Linked DNA regions of Daphnia pulex. The protein of the gene in region 3 purifies or fractionates together with the protein of the main gene of each other region. This does not show direct contact. Links are inferred from orthologs where the notes say so. Each region holds a gene or a part of one and is shown on either strand. Other genes may lie near its edges.

The links.
Region 1: the proteins of syntaxin-8-like (region 3) and vesicle-associated membrane protein 7-like purify together in Homo sapiens (affinity purification with western blotting; 3 studies listed by BioGRID and IntAct, with this or other methods). This does not show direct contact. The link is inferred for Daphnia pulex from reciprocal best matches to the Homo sapiens genes STX8 and VAMP7.
Region 2: the proteins of syntaxin-8-like (region 3) and vesicle-associated membrane protein 2-like purify together in Homo sapiens (co-immunoprecipitation; 3 studies listed by BioGRID and IntAct, counting the BioPlex papers as one, with this or other methods). This does not show direct contact. The link is inferred for Daphnia pulex from reciprocal best matches to the Homo sapiens genes STX8 and VAMP4.

What each region holds. Positions count from the first base shown.
Region 1 is NC_060018.1:6,537,445-6,540,945, reverse strand, and holds vesicle-associated membrane protein 7-like, read right to left. Parts: upstream 2,177-3,501; 5' UTR 2,090-2,176; intron 1,955-2,089; 5' UTR 1,885-1,954; intron 1,816-1,884; 5' UTR 1,809-1,815; coding exon 1,602-1,808; intron 1,537-1,601; coding exon 1,399-1,536; intron 1,337-1,398; coding exon 1,246-1,336; intron 1,159-1,245; coding exon 1,091-1,158; intron 1,021-1,090; coding exon 928-1,020; intron 779-927; coding exon 707-778; 3' UTR 561-706; downstream 1-560. Other genes in the region: ribosomal RNA-processing protein 8-like, read left to right, coding at 1-151, 213-289, 353-560; uncharacterized protein LOC124188813, read right to left, coding at 2,568-3,034, 3,100-3,192, 3,257-3,299. UniProt on the Homo sapiens protein: Involved in the targeting and/or fusion of transport vesicles to their target membrane during transport of proteins from the early endosome to the lysosome. Required for heterotypic fusion of late endosomes with lysosomes and homotypic lysosomal fusion.
Region 2 is NC_060027.1:3,974,561-3,977,672, reverse strand, and holds vesicle-associated membrane protein 2-like, read right to left. Parts: upstream 1,913-3,112; 5' UTR 1,784-1,912; coding exon 1,730-1,783; intron 1,610-1,729; coding exon 1,557-1,609; intron 1,498-1,556; coding exon 1,456-1,497; intron 1,396-1,455; coding exon 1,249-1,395; intron 1,187-1,248; coding exon 1,101-1,186; intron 1,036-1,100; coding exon 1,010-1,035; 3' UTR 980-1,009; exon of another isoform or gene 916-979; intron 904-915; 3' UTR 592-903; downstream 1-591. UniProt on the Homo sapiens protein: Involved in the pathway that functions to remove an inhibitor (probably synaptotagmin-4) of calcium-triggered exocytosis during the maturation of secretory granules.
Region 3 is NC_060022.1:2,056,293-2,059,507, forward strand, and holds syntaxin-8-like, read right to left. Parts: upstream 1,888-3,215; 5' UTR 1,801-1,887; coding exon 1,763-1,800; intron 1,612-1,762; coding exon 1,417-1,611; intron 1,354-1,416; coding exon 1,267-1,353; intron 1,205-1,266; coding exon 1,068-1,204; intron 1,012-1,067; coding exon 919-1,011; intron 859-918; coding exon 757-858; intron 690-756; coding exon 622-689; 3' UTR 509-621; downstream 1-508. Other genes in the region: serine-rich adhesin for platelets-like, read left to right, coding at 1-27, 91-114; bestrophin-4-like, read left to right, coding at 2,039-2,105, 2,358-2,454, 2,531-2,641, 2,738-2,912, 2,977-3,097, 3,181-3,215. UniProt on the Homo sapiens protein: Vesicle trafficking protein that functions in the early secretory pathway, possibly by mediating retrograde transport from cis-Golgi membranes to the ER.

The DNA.
Region 1 (3,501 bases), on a different chromosome or scaffold from region 3:
CTGGGTGATAGCTGATTTTGGTTGTGGTGAAGCTCAGATAGCAAACACCATTCCTAATAAAGTTCACTCTTTTGACCTTGTAGCAGCAAATGACAAAGTTACTGCTTGTGACATGGCTTCTGTTCCTTTGGCAACCAAAGCTGTTGATGTGGTATTTCAGCATTATTTATGCATTATAAATTTTGATCAAACAACAGATATTGCTTGTTCAGGTGGTCTTCTGCTTATCTCTCATGGGTTCCAACATACATGACTTTTTAAAGGAAGCTAATAGAGTCCTTAAAATTGGGTAAATGCTACATACAGATTTTAAAAAATAATAATCTTTATTGATGTAATTTTTAAATTACAGTGGTACTTTGTGTGTAGCTGAAGTTGAAAGCAGATGTAGCAATATTAATGATTTCTTGAAAACAATTGAACGTTTTGGATTCCAACTCAAAGAAAATAACGTTCAAAAATACTTTTTTCTCGCAAAGTTTAGCAAGATTCAAAACATGAGTCCCAAAGCAACTATGCCAAGAATATATTTGAAACCTTGTCTGTACAAAAAACGATGAATAGAAAAGTACACATAAATGTTGAACATCATAACAAAGAAACCGACTCATTATATGTTACGAATGTACAGAAACGTATTTGGTTGAAATAGAATGTTTGTTTTAAAAACTGAAAGAAAAATTAGATCACGCGCAGAATTTGTGCATCAACTATTTTGAATGCATGAATGCCAATTCAATCCTCCACATGCTATGCTAACGACAAAATACACAATAACCTACGGAAAAATAGATATTTTCAATTAGATTTCATTTAAAATATTATTCCGAATTTTAGAATGTAGTTCAGGTCGATAAATGGTAAAAAAAAAAAAATTACGAATGAAATAAAGATAGTTATTTAAACTGTAAAACAATTATAACATACCAAAATCACGGCAGCAGTAATTGCTGTTATTTTTATGTTTTTCCAGAACAAGGAATTAGCCAAATTTCGACTTGATTTCCGGAAAGTAACAGCCTAAAAACAATTTAAAATAACTTACTTGGTAAACCAAAGTAAAATTTAAAAATATCTAAAATATACATACTGACGCGCTGAGGCTTTCGGTTTTATTAACCAGTAATTCTAATCTTTCGCCACGTGCCGCTAAGGAATCTAATAATGAGCAAAATTAAATTAAATGGTATTATGTTACTACTGCTGGAGGTTGCAAATTCTTGCTGGCTCGTATTTACACTTTACCTATATTTTTCACCATTACATCTTTCAAGTCGTCCAATTCTCCTTGAACTTGAGAAACGGTATCGATATCTCGAGATTCAGAAAAGTGTTTCTGGTTTTAAAAAAAAAATCTCAGTAATGTCTGAAATAATTGAGAAGAATTTCACGACTTACCATTAGCCCTGCCAAAATTTTCGAAAACTCCGTGTTCATAGCATATGGTAGAGCAGAGTATGCATGGGCTCCAAAAGTATTTACAAATTTCTTTTTAACTTCATTCAAAAATAAAAATGCTCTTGAACGTTCAAATTCCTAAAATAAAGGTTTCTATTTATATATCATCTTCTACAATTGCAGACAATAAAAAAAAGATTTACATCATCTGAGATGCAAAGATAAATTATTCTGTCTTGCAAAATATAGTGGAACAAAAATGATCCATGAGAGTAGGTCATTTTTGAATCATCAAGTCCAATTTGAGCTAGAACTTGCTCTGTGATCTCAGAAAAGTTTCCAGTACAATTATTGGCAAATCTAGCCAAAACAGTGTTTCCTCTACTAACAACACTATATAACAGCGGCATTTTCCTTCTAAAAAATTAACATATGAGATTATGTAATAAAGACTAAATATTTTTTATGGGTCAACTAATCTCATACCAACAAAACTTTCTCGACGATTCAGACGATCTTCAATCCCATCAATAACTTGACGAACGTGTATAAAAAACTGCAGAGAAACTCACGATGGATTACAGAACTTATGAAGGAGCAGATATTATGACACTCAAAAGACGTTGCTATAGTTTTGGATAGTTGTAGGACGAATATAATTAATTTTTGTAAGTATTAAGGATTAAACAACCTATCTTAAATTATCAAATGACAATCCACTCCAGTCAATGACTCAATGTTGACTATTGTCGGAACCACGTTATAGAGTCTATGGTTTGCTCACTCACTAGAGCAGAGCAATAGATACCTGGTCGGTTCTCGGCCGTGTTGGCTTCCCTATCCCGGTTTCAGGGTAAACGTGGTCCGATTTGGAAAAATTGATGAGCGCCTCTAGTGAGTGTGTCAGGTACTACGTGAAGCCAGCCAATCAGGAAGGGTCTATGAAAAACTCATTGACCAATCACAGCTTACTTTTCTACAAGAAGTGAACAAAATAAAAAGGTAGAAGTATCCAACTGTCAAACCTCTAGGTCTTTTCTAAGTGTCCCAACATTCTTACATTTTATTGTTTGGTTGTGTAAATTGTTTATTCTTTGTAAGTGTCCAAACATTCTTACATTTTATTGTTTGGTTGTGTAAATTGTTTATTGTTCCGTTGACATAATACACTACTTCTTGTTTTGAAAATGTACACTTTTCACATTATAATTTTCATTTGGTAGTCGATCCATCGAAATGCAAAAAATCGTTTGTTTAATTTGATCAAAATACCATGTCCAATTCTTTGGTACCATTGATGAAGTTACTAGTGACTGAAATGTCACAAAATTAGACTTGAAATTAGTAGAGCTTGCTTCCATAGAAGGTGATGTAACTGTCGAATCATCAATGACAACAGCAACATTTTCGTTCATTACATCAGGAAGTGGATCAAAAATTGCTTCTTCAGCAGCCTGGTGAGTGTCCATTGATTCTTGAATAGTAGAGGTAGCTTCCATAGAAGGTGATGCAACTGTCGTATCTTCCATGACAACAGCAAGATTTTCCTTGATTGAATCTGGAAGTGGATCAAAAATTGCTTCTTCAGCAGCCTGGGGAATGTTGATTGATTCTTTAATAATTTCCATGGAGGGTGCTATCAGATAAAATTTAAAGCAATTGCTCTTATAAATAAAATGTAACGAGAACTATTATCAATACCTGTACTGTCAAATTTTTTTCTCTTAGACGTAGTAGGTATTTTGTCTACTTTTGGTCGTTTCCTTACTGATGCATTGCTAGCATTTGTTTCCACTACAATACATATTTAAGAATTGCGTTATTTGATATTAAACAAAATAAACATATTTAAAAATACCATTAAGGTTATTTCTCCATTTGAAACCATCAACATTTTGCATTGCTTGTCGACTAGGTGTATCTAAAATGAAAATGGTTCAGTTTCTGTGCTTTACAGATTATACAGGAAATGTAATATCAATACCATTTATCAGAAAATGTTTGGGAATTGCTCCAGCATTACGATTCCTACGTTTGAAAGGATGGAACACGTTCAAAATTTAAATCCCTGATTTGAAGTCACTTTCGTCAAAATGACGGGAG
Region 2 (3,112 bases), on a different chromosome or scaffold from region 3:
CTATAACTCTGCTATACATACTATATATGGTCCACGGGACACAATTCCAATTGTGGAGGGGTCTGAGCATCCCCAATGCATGCTTCATGCCTTCCTTCATTCTTATGTTCTTGTTCGTTTTGTTCTTCCACCAAATAAAAACAAACCAACCCAAAGAGATAAAACTACGTCGCGAAAATTACCCTGGTTGTTTTTTTATTTATTTAACTTGAATTCCTCCACCACACACACACACTCCCCTCTCCGCTCTTGCTCTCTCGTTCTTTGCTCATCCACTGGATACGATGTTGTTTCCTTGTTTGAGTTCTTTTTTATATTCAACGTAAAAACTGTGTCGTTCCCCCTGTTTTTATTTTTTAGTTCCCTGTACATACATATGAAAAAAAAAAACTTCCGTACGTGATGATAAAATCAGATTCACTCCGTGTTTTTTTTTTTGTTGAAAAGTTAGGAGAATATAGAACGAATCGGGGAAAAAAAATTTAAGTTTCGTTGAATGATCAGCAGTTCGAGGGAAAATAAAAGAGCTGTGACCGGGTTGGATATGGCGGGGGATGGAATCCAATGAGAGAGAGTGACACGATGTATAAATATATGTGGAATACCATCGGTTCTGTATTCATCAATTGATATATAAACCGTGTAAAAGGTGAAATACAATGGGAAAATGATCAGCCGTTCATCAAAGTGTTTGATACTTTTTTTTTTCATTTTTCTGTGACAGACATTATCAATCTCACTCGATTCCACAAGACAATGTTAAGTGGATTTATAGTAATCAAATATATATTTCAAATTGTCATCCATTCATCTGACTATAGTGTGCAAACCCCACCTTTCAATATTTGAATTTGCGGATTTTGATGGACTCAACTTGTACGCCTAGTAATACCGGTCGACAGGCTTTTTTTTTTAAAATAATCAAAAACAAATTATTATAGCTGTTTTAGAATAGCTCAGTTACAACATATTTCAATACTTGGGGATATCTTGAAAATCTTCTTGCTGATCAATGGTATTTGACTGATAGCCACACTATATTGATTTGGAAAAATGGTTTAGATAAAAGTTGCTATGTTTAAAAATGCAGCACATGATACCTATCATAATTAGCACAACTAGACCGCAGAGTGATCCTAGAATGAGACGAGTTCTCATCTCTTTCCACCACATTGTTTTACGGAGCCTGCATGGTGAGTAAAGATTTTGTTAAATATTGTAGACTAGTTGTTAAAAATAAAAGATTACCTTGAGGAAGCAGTGTGAAATTCATCGGAAGCACTTCTTAAATTTTCTGATCTCTCATTCAGCTCATCCAGCTGGTCACCTCTGGCAAACAGCTTATGCACATTCTCCTTCATAACGTTAGTGACCTCTTCCACCTGGGATTTTACCCTGTCAAAAGAAAAACAATTAGATCAACATGTAATTTGAATTCTCAAGATGTAAGCTTACTCTTTCAGCTTGTTGTTTGAAAATTGTCCTCCATCTTTTTTACTGGAAAAATTCAAATTTGAAATGAAACAAACTAATTTGAAATATTAGAAATAGCTTACTTGAGCACGAAATCTTCATCACTATCATCAGACACATTATCTAGTAGCTGCTCCTGTAAAGGACAAGGATTCTTAGTGTTAGTATTTAAGTTACTCCCACGTAACAACATATAGTTGTAAAGAATATTAAAGCTGACAAGTGAGTTTTTGGTAAAAACACTTTATGACTTTACTCTTTCAAAATCTGCTCCTTCACTCCTGCTTGGTCTAGTTGGTCTTCCAGACATAGCAGATATTAAAATATTTATGAACTTTCTTGAAAATGTGAAAATAGGATCAAACTAACTAGTAACTTTACAATAACTAAAGGAAAACAAAGCTGTCAATTAATTTCATCAAATATCTTCTGCTAAACGCCATCTATTGTCGACGACTACAACTGTGTACACATTCGTCAGCTGGGCTACAAGTAAAAGCAGCAAAAGAATAGCTGTTTGTGATTAATAAGTACTGTTTCATTTTTTAAAAAGAACACATAGCATTTAGCATAGGATCTTCAATAACTCGCTAATTGCCGTAAAAAGACCATTTTTATAAAAACAATTCGATTTTTAGTATATTCATGTGCGAATAGATGGCAAAAGTCTAAATCAGAGTATTTTTGAAACCTGAAGTTTGAATAATGATCAGAAATCTAACTTTAAACAATTAAACAATAATAATTAAAAAAAAAAAAAACATGTATGGGGTTTTTCACTCTGTAGACCAATACTGGCATCGCCAGATCAATGTTAGCTTCATCTAGAGTTCTGAGCCTACGCTTTTTAGGACTCAAAGAACCGCTGTATTCAGTTAACCATGGATTAAGAATTAACCGATTGGCTTACAAGTGTAACGTTGTAAAGCCATTTGAATACCTAGATGTAGGTCTTAGGATTTGAATGCAATACTTCCATGCTAACTTTCTTGCACCTCGTTAGATTCAATGAAATCAATGAAACCAACGATAATCCATTCCATTGACGAGTTATTACCTCATTAATTGCTATTTTACTTAGTTATTTATCGATCGGTGTGAAACAGCTATGTTCACCAGTAGAGTCGAACTCAGGTGTCAAAGTGCTCTTGCGATCACTAAGCCACGCCTTATCCGACTCACACACCCGACCTCCCATTGTTCATATATTAGTTCAGTTAGCCTATAGAGGTTTTTCCATTTGGTTCGTGTAAGTAGAGGGAAAAGTCGTGCGGCTAGTCGACTAGTGCGCACCATGGCGGTGGATAGCCGAAACTTGCTGCAGACTTTGCTTGATCCAAACGATAGTCACCGTAAGGCCATGTACTGTAACCTGTCAGGCTGTCAGCAGCAAAAGTGAAACCTGTTTTTTTTCTTAAGTGTTTAAAATGACAAAAGGTTTTTGTTTCATATGTTCAACTTATGAAAAAAAAAAGAGATCGCCGAAGTTTTTTCAAAGTGCCAGAATGCAACATTAACAGTAATTCAATTGAGAAAGAACTCATTTCACTTTGAAAAAACTTCGGCGATCTCTTTTTTTTTTTTCATAAGTTGAACATATGAAACAAAAACCTTCTGTCATTTTAAACACTTAAGAAAA
Region 3 (3,215 bases):
TTTGCCAACGGAGGTTCCCTAAAGAAGGTAATAGTATTTTTGTTTTATTAAATGTAATTTGATTAACATACATTTTTTTAAATTCTATAGACTGGAACTAGCTTGGAGAAGTAGGAACATGTGTAAACAAGTCAATGCTGTCTGTGTCAAAATTCCTTGCTATATAAAAAAACGCCGTTAAAGTTTCTATTCACATTCCAGGTTAATCATTTAAAAAATGTGTTGCAGTTTTGAGACATTCGTTTCACAGTTAGTTTTTTCCTTCTTTTTTTTTCTTCGAGATAATAATTATATCAATAAAAACTGTTATGCATTCCAAACCTGTTATGCTTATTCATTGTTTACTCCGTAATGCGCAAATCCTTTAAGATGAACGAAAGTTGTTAACGGAAGTTATAAATTAATTTGTCTATAAAAAGAAGCCTGGTTCATTTTCACATTCAATTTCAATGCCCTAAATGTAAACCCCACGAAGAATGGGCAAATAAATACACTTGTCATACAACCATTTCGAGAATAAATTGCGTTATATATTTTTCTCTTTCATCACTTTAATAGAATCGATGTAGTTTTAAGGACGAGATACGGTCAAATTAACTTAGGCAGCTTTGGAATTTCTCATTAATGTTTCGGAATAGAAGCGACTACAACGATGGCAACAAACAACAACAGGATTACCATCCAATATCCTGAAGTGAAAACAAAGAAATTATTGCATCTGTCTGAAGCACCTTATCTAACAAGATCTGTGTTTACCAAAAGTACGATCCTTCCGATCAACTACAGTTATTGTTGAAGTTTGCTGTGCCATTCGATCCCGAGTGCGATCAACGTTGTCTGCGATGTTTTCAATCAAATCTAAACCAAGAAAATACAATTTTTATTATTATTTTATGATAATTAATCAAAAGAATTTACCATTTTGTGATTCAACTTCATCACCAATTGTCTGGGCAATTTGCCTTTGCCTGCCAATAATTCTCGAAAGCTCATCCAGCCCTCTGTCTTGATCTAGAAAATACATTTTTATTAAGACACATATGAATAACACATTTAAATCCACTAACCTGCCATAATTTGGACTTGGATTTGTTTGAGTTCACGATGAGGGATATGTTCACTAGTCATTGCAGATGATGATGGATTTGAAGAGGTTGTTGTTCCTGATGACAATTTACTAAGGGATTGGCTCTTATCCAACACGCTATAGTAAACAGAAAACTGTAAATGAAAATATTTCTATTCATAGTATGAAAAACTACAAACCTGCTATTGACAGAATTCAGAAGCTGCTTATGTTTGCTTAAAAGATCTTCAAGGAGAAGGCCCCGCCGTTCTTTCTCTCTTGCAGTCCTGAGTGAAAAGTTTTAGAAATGAGCTAACTTCATTAATGTTAGGTGGAAGTCAATACAATACAATTGTTTATTTTGTGAGAGCCGTTCAAGATGTCCTTTAAGACTTTGGATTTCACTGTAAAGTTGACTCAAGCTATTCCTCAACTGAAAAGAAAGTCTTGCATGTGCTTGAGAATTCTTTGGTAGGTGATCCCTTTCATTAAAAATCCCCAGTAATGAAAAATGTAATTTTTCAGCAGATGAGAACTCCTTTTCCCTGGTTTGATGGATACAATTAAGAATTAATGTGATAACATCTACAGATGCAGCAACAAAAATTTGTCTTTCGTATTATTTGGTAAGAGCTTGGGCCAGAACCACAAGGTAAAATATTGACATTATCTAAAAGATTAGTTTTGTTTACTTACCAGGCATTAGCGTCGTTTCCCAAATCGACGAGCGCCATTCTTTCATAGACGTCTGCTCGAGACAGCTGTCAAATGCGATGGTGTCGCTTTGTATATATATATACAGACTTGGGAAAGGGCAGGGAAAAACGAAAGAGAAAGAGAATGGCCGGCGCCGGCCAGACATCACATCAGAATTCTTGTTGTGTCATTGTGACATTGTGTGTTATTCTTTCCCGTACCGTACGGTCGGTGCTTTAGTGTATTTATTCCTCGTGATGTTTAGTGAAAAGATTTATGAGTAGATATACACGAGGTCTATCAATTTCTGATTTCCAGTCTCCTGCGGCAGCCGGCAAGCCTGGTAAGTTATTATTGGTTTCACTTGAATTTAACCACTAGATTAGATTACACCTACACTACAAGGCCAAGTAGATACTAATTGTGGTTTAACTGGTATTATCAGGATCGACATTTTTTCCTAATAAATTGGCCCACAGCTCGTAGTGTAACATTTAGTAGGAACGTAATGAGCAAAGAGTGAGAGTGGTTTGTTACAGCCACTTGGCCTTGTCCCACGTCTCTAAGTTATCCTCAAGTTCACGTTATAAGCTAGCACGGACGATTACGACGATGAATCCCATGTTTGGAAATCCGACGACTTCAATTAAAACCTACAAGAAATTCATCGGCAATGTGTCTATTCTTCTGAAGTAACTCTTCCGTCATTGGCATTTTTGGCAATGCTATCTTATTCATTCAAAATTGTAATTTCAATTACTTTTATAGATGGAAACGAAGTGTTTACAAATTGTTATGGAAGCACATGGTGATCTACGCAATAGTATACATATGGCTGAGCATTCTCTACGAATTCATCCTCGACGAATATGGAAAAATGTTAAGTATTGGTCAATACATTCCAACAGTCTTATAATGGTAAACGTTCCACGCGCTGACTGAATATCGTTTTCTATTTTTGTAAATTGTTTGTAGGAATTTCAGGGTCCTTGCCGAACATTGTTCCCGATATAGCGGTAGTATTAACCTTATGGTATTGCTTGGCTTCTTTACATCAACAGCCATGCAACGATTATACTCGATGCAAACACCCGAAACAGACCAATCAATTACCGTATTCATATTTTCACTGAAACCAGATCTACCTGAAGTAAGTCCAACTGAGAGTCATTTATCATTATAATGCAATAATTTTAATCGCTATTTTATTAAAGGGGCCTGTGATTATCGATCAATTTGTACGATGGCAATTGCTTGCTTTGATATTTTCATTTTGTCTGGTGTCTCATCCTATACGAAAAATCTATCCAAATCTTTCGTCCTTACAAACTGCAGGTAGTCTAATGATTAGACCCTTCTTTTTTAGATTACCTTGTTATTTCTTTACAATTAACATATTTATATATATTTCAATCTAGGATTACTAACTCAAGACGAAAGGCAGATCATAGAA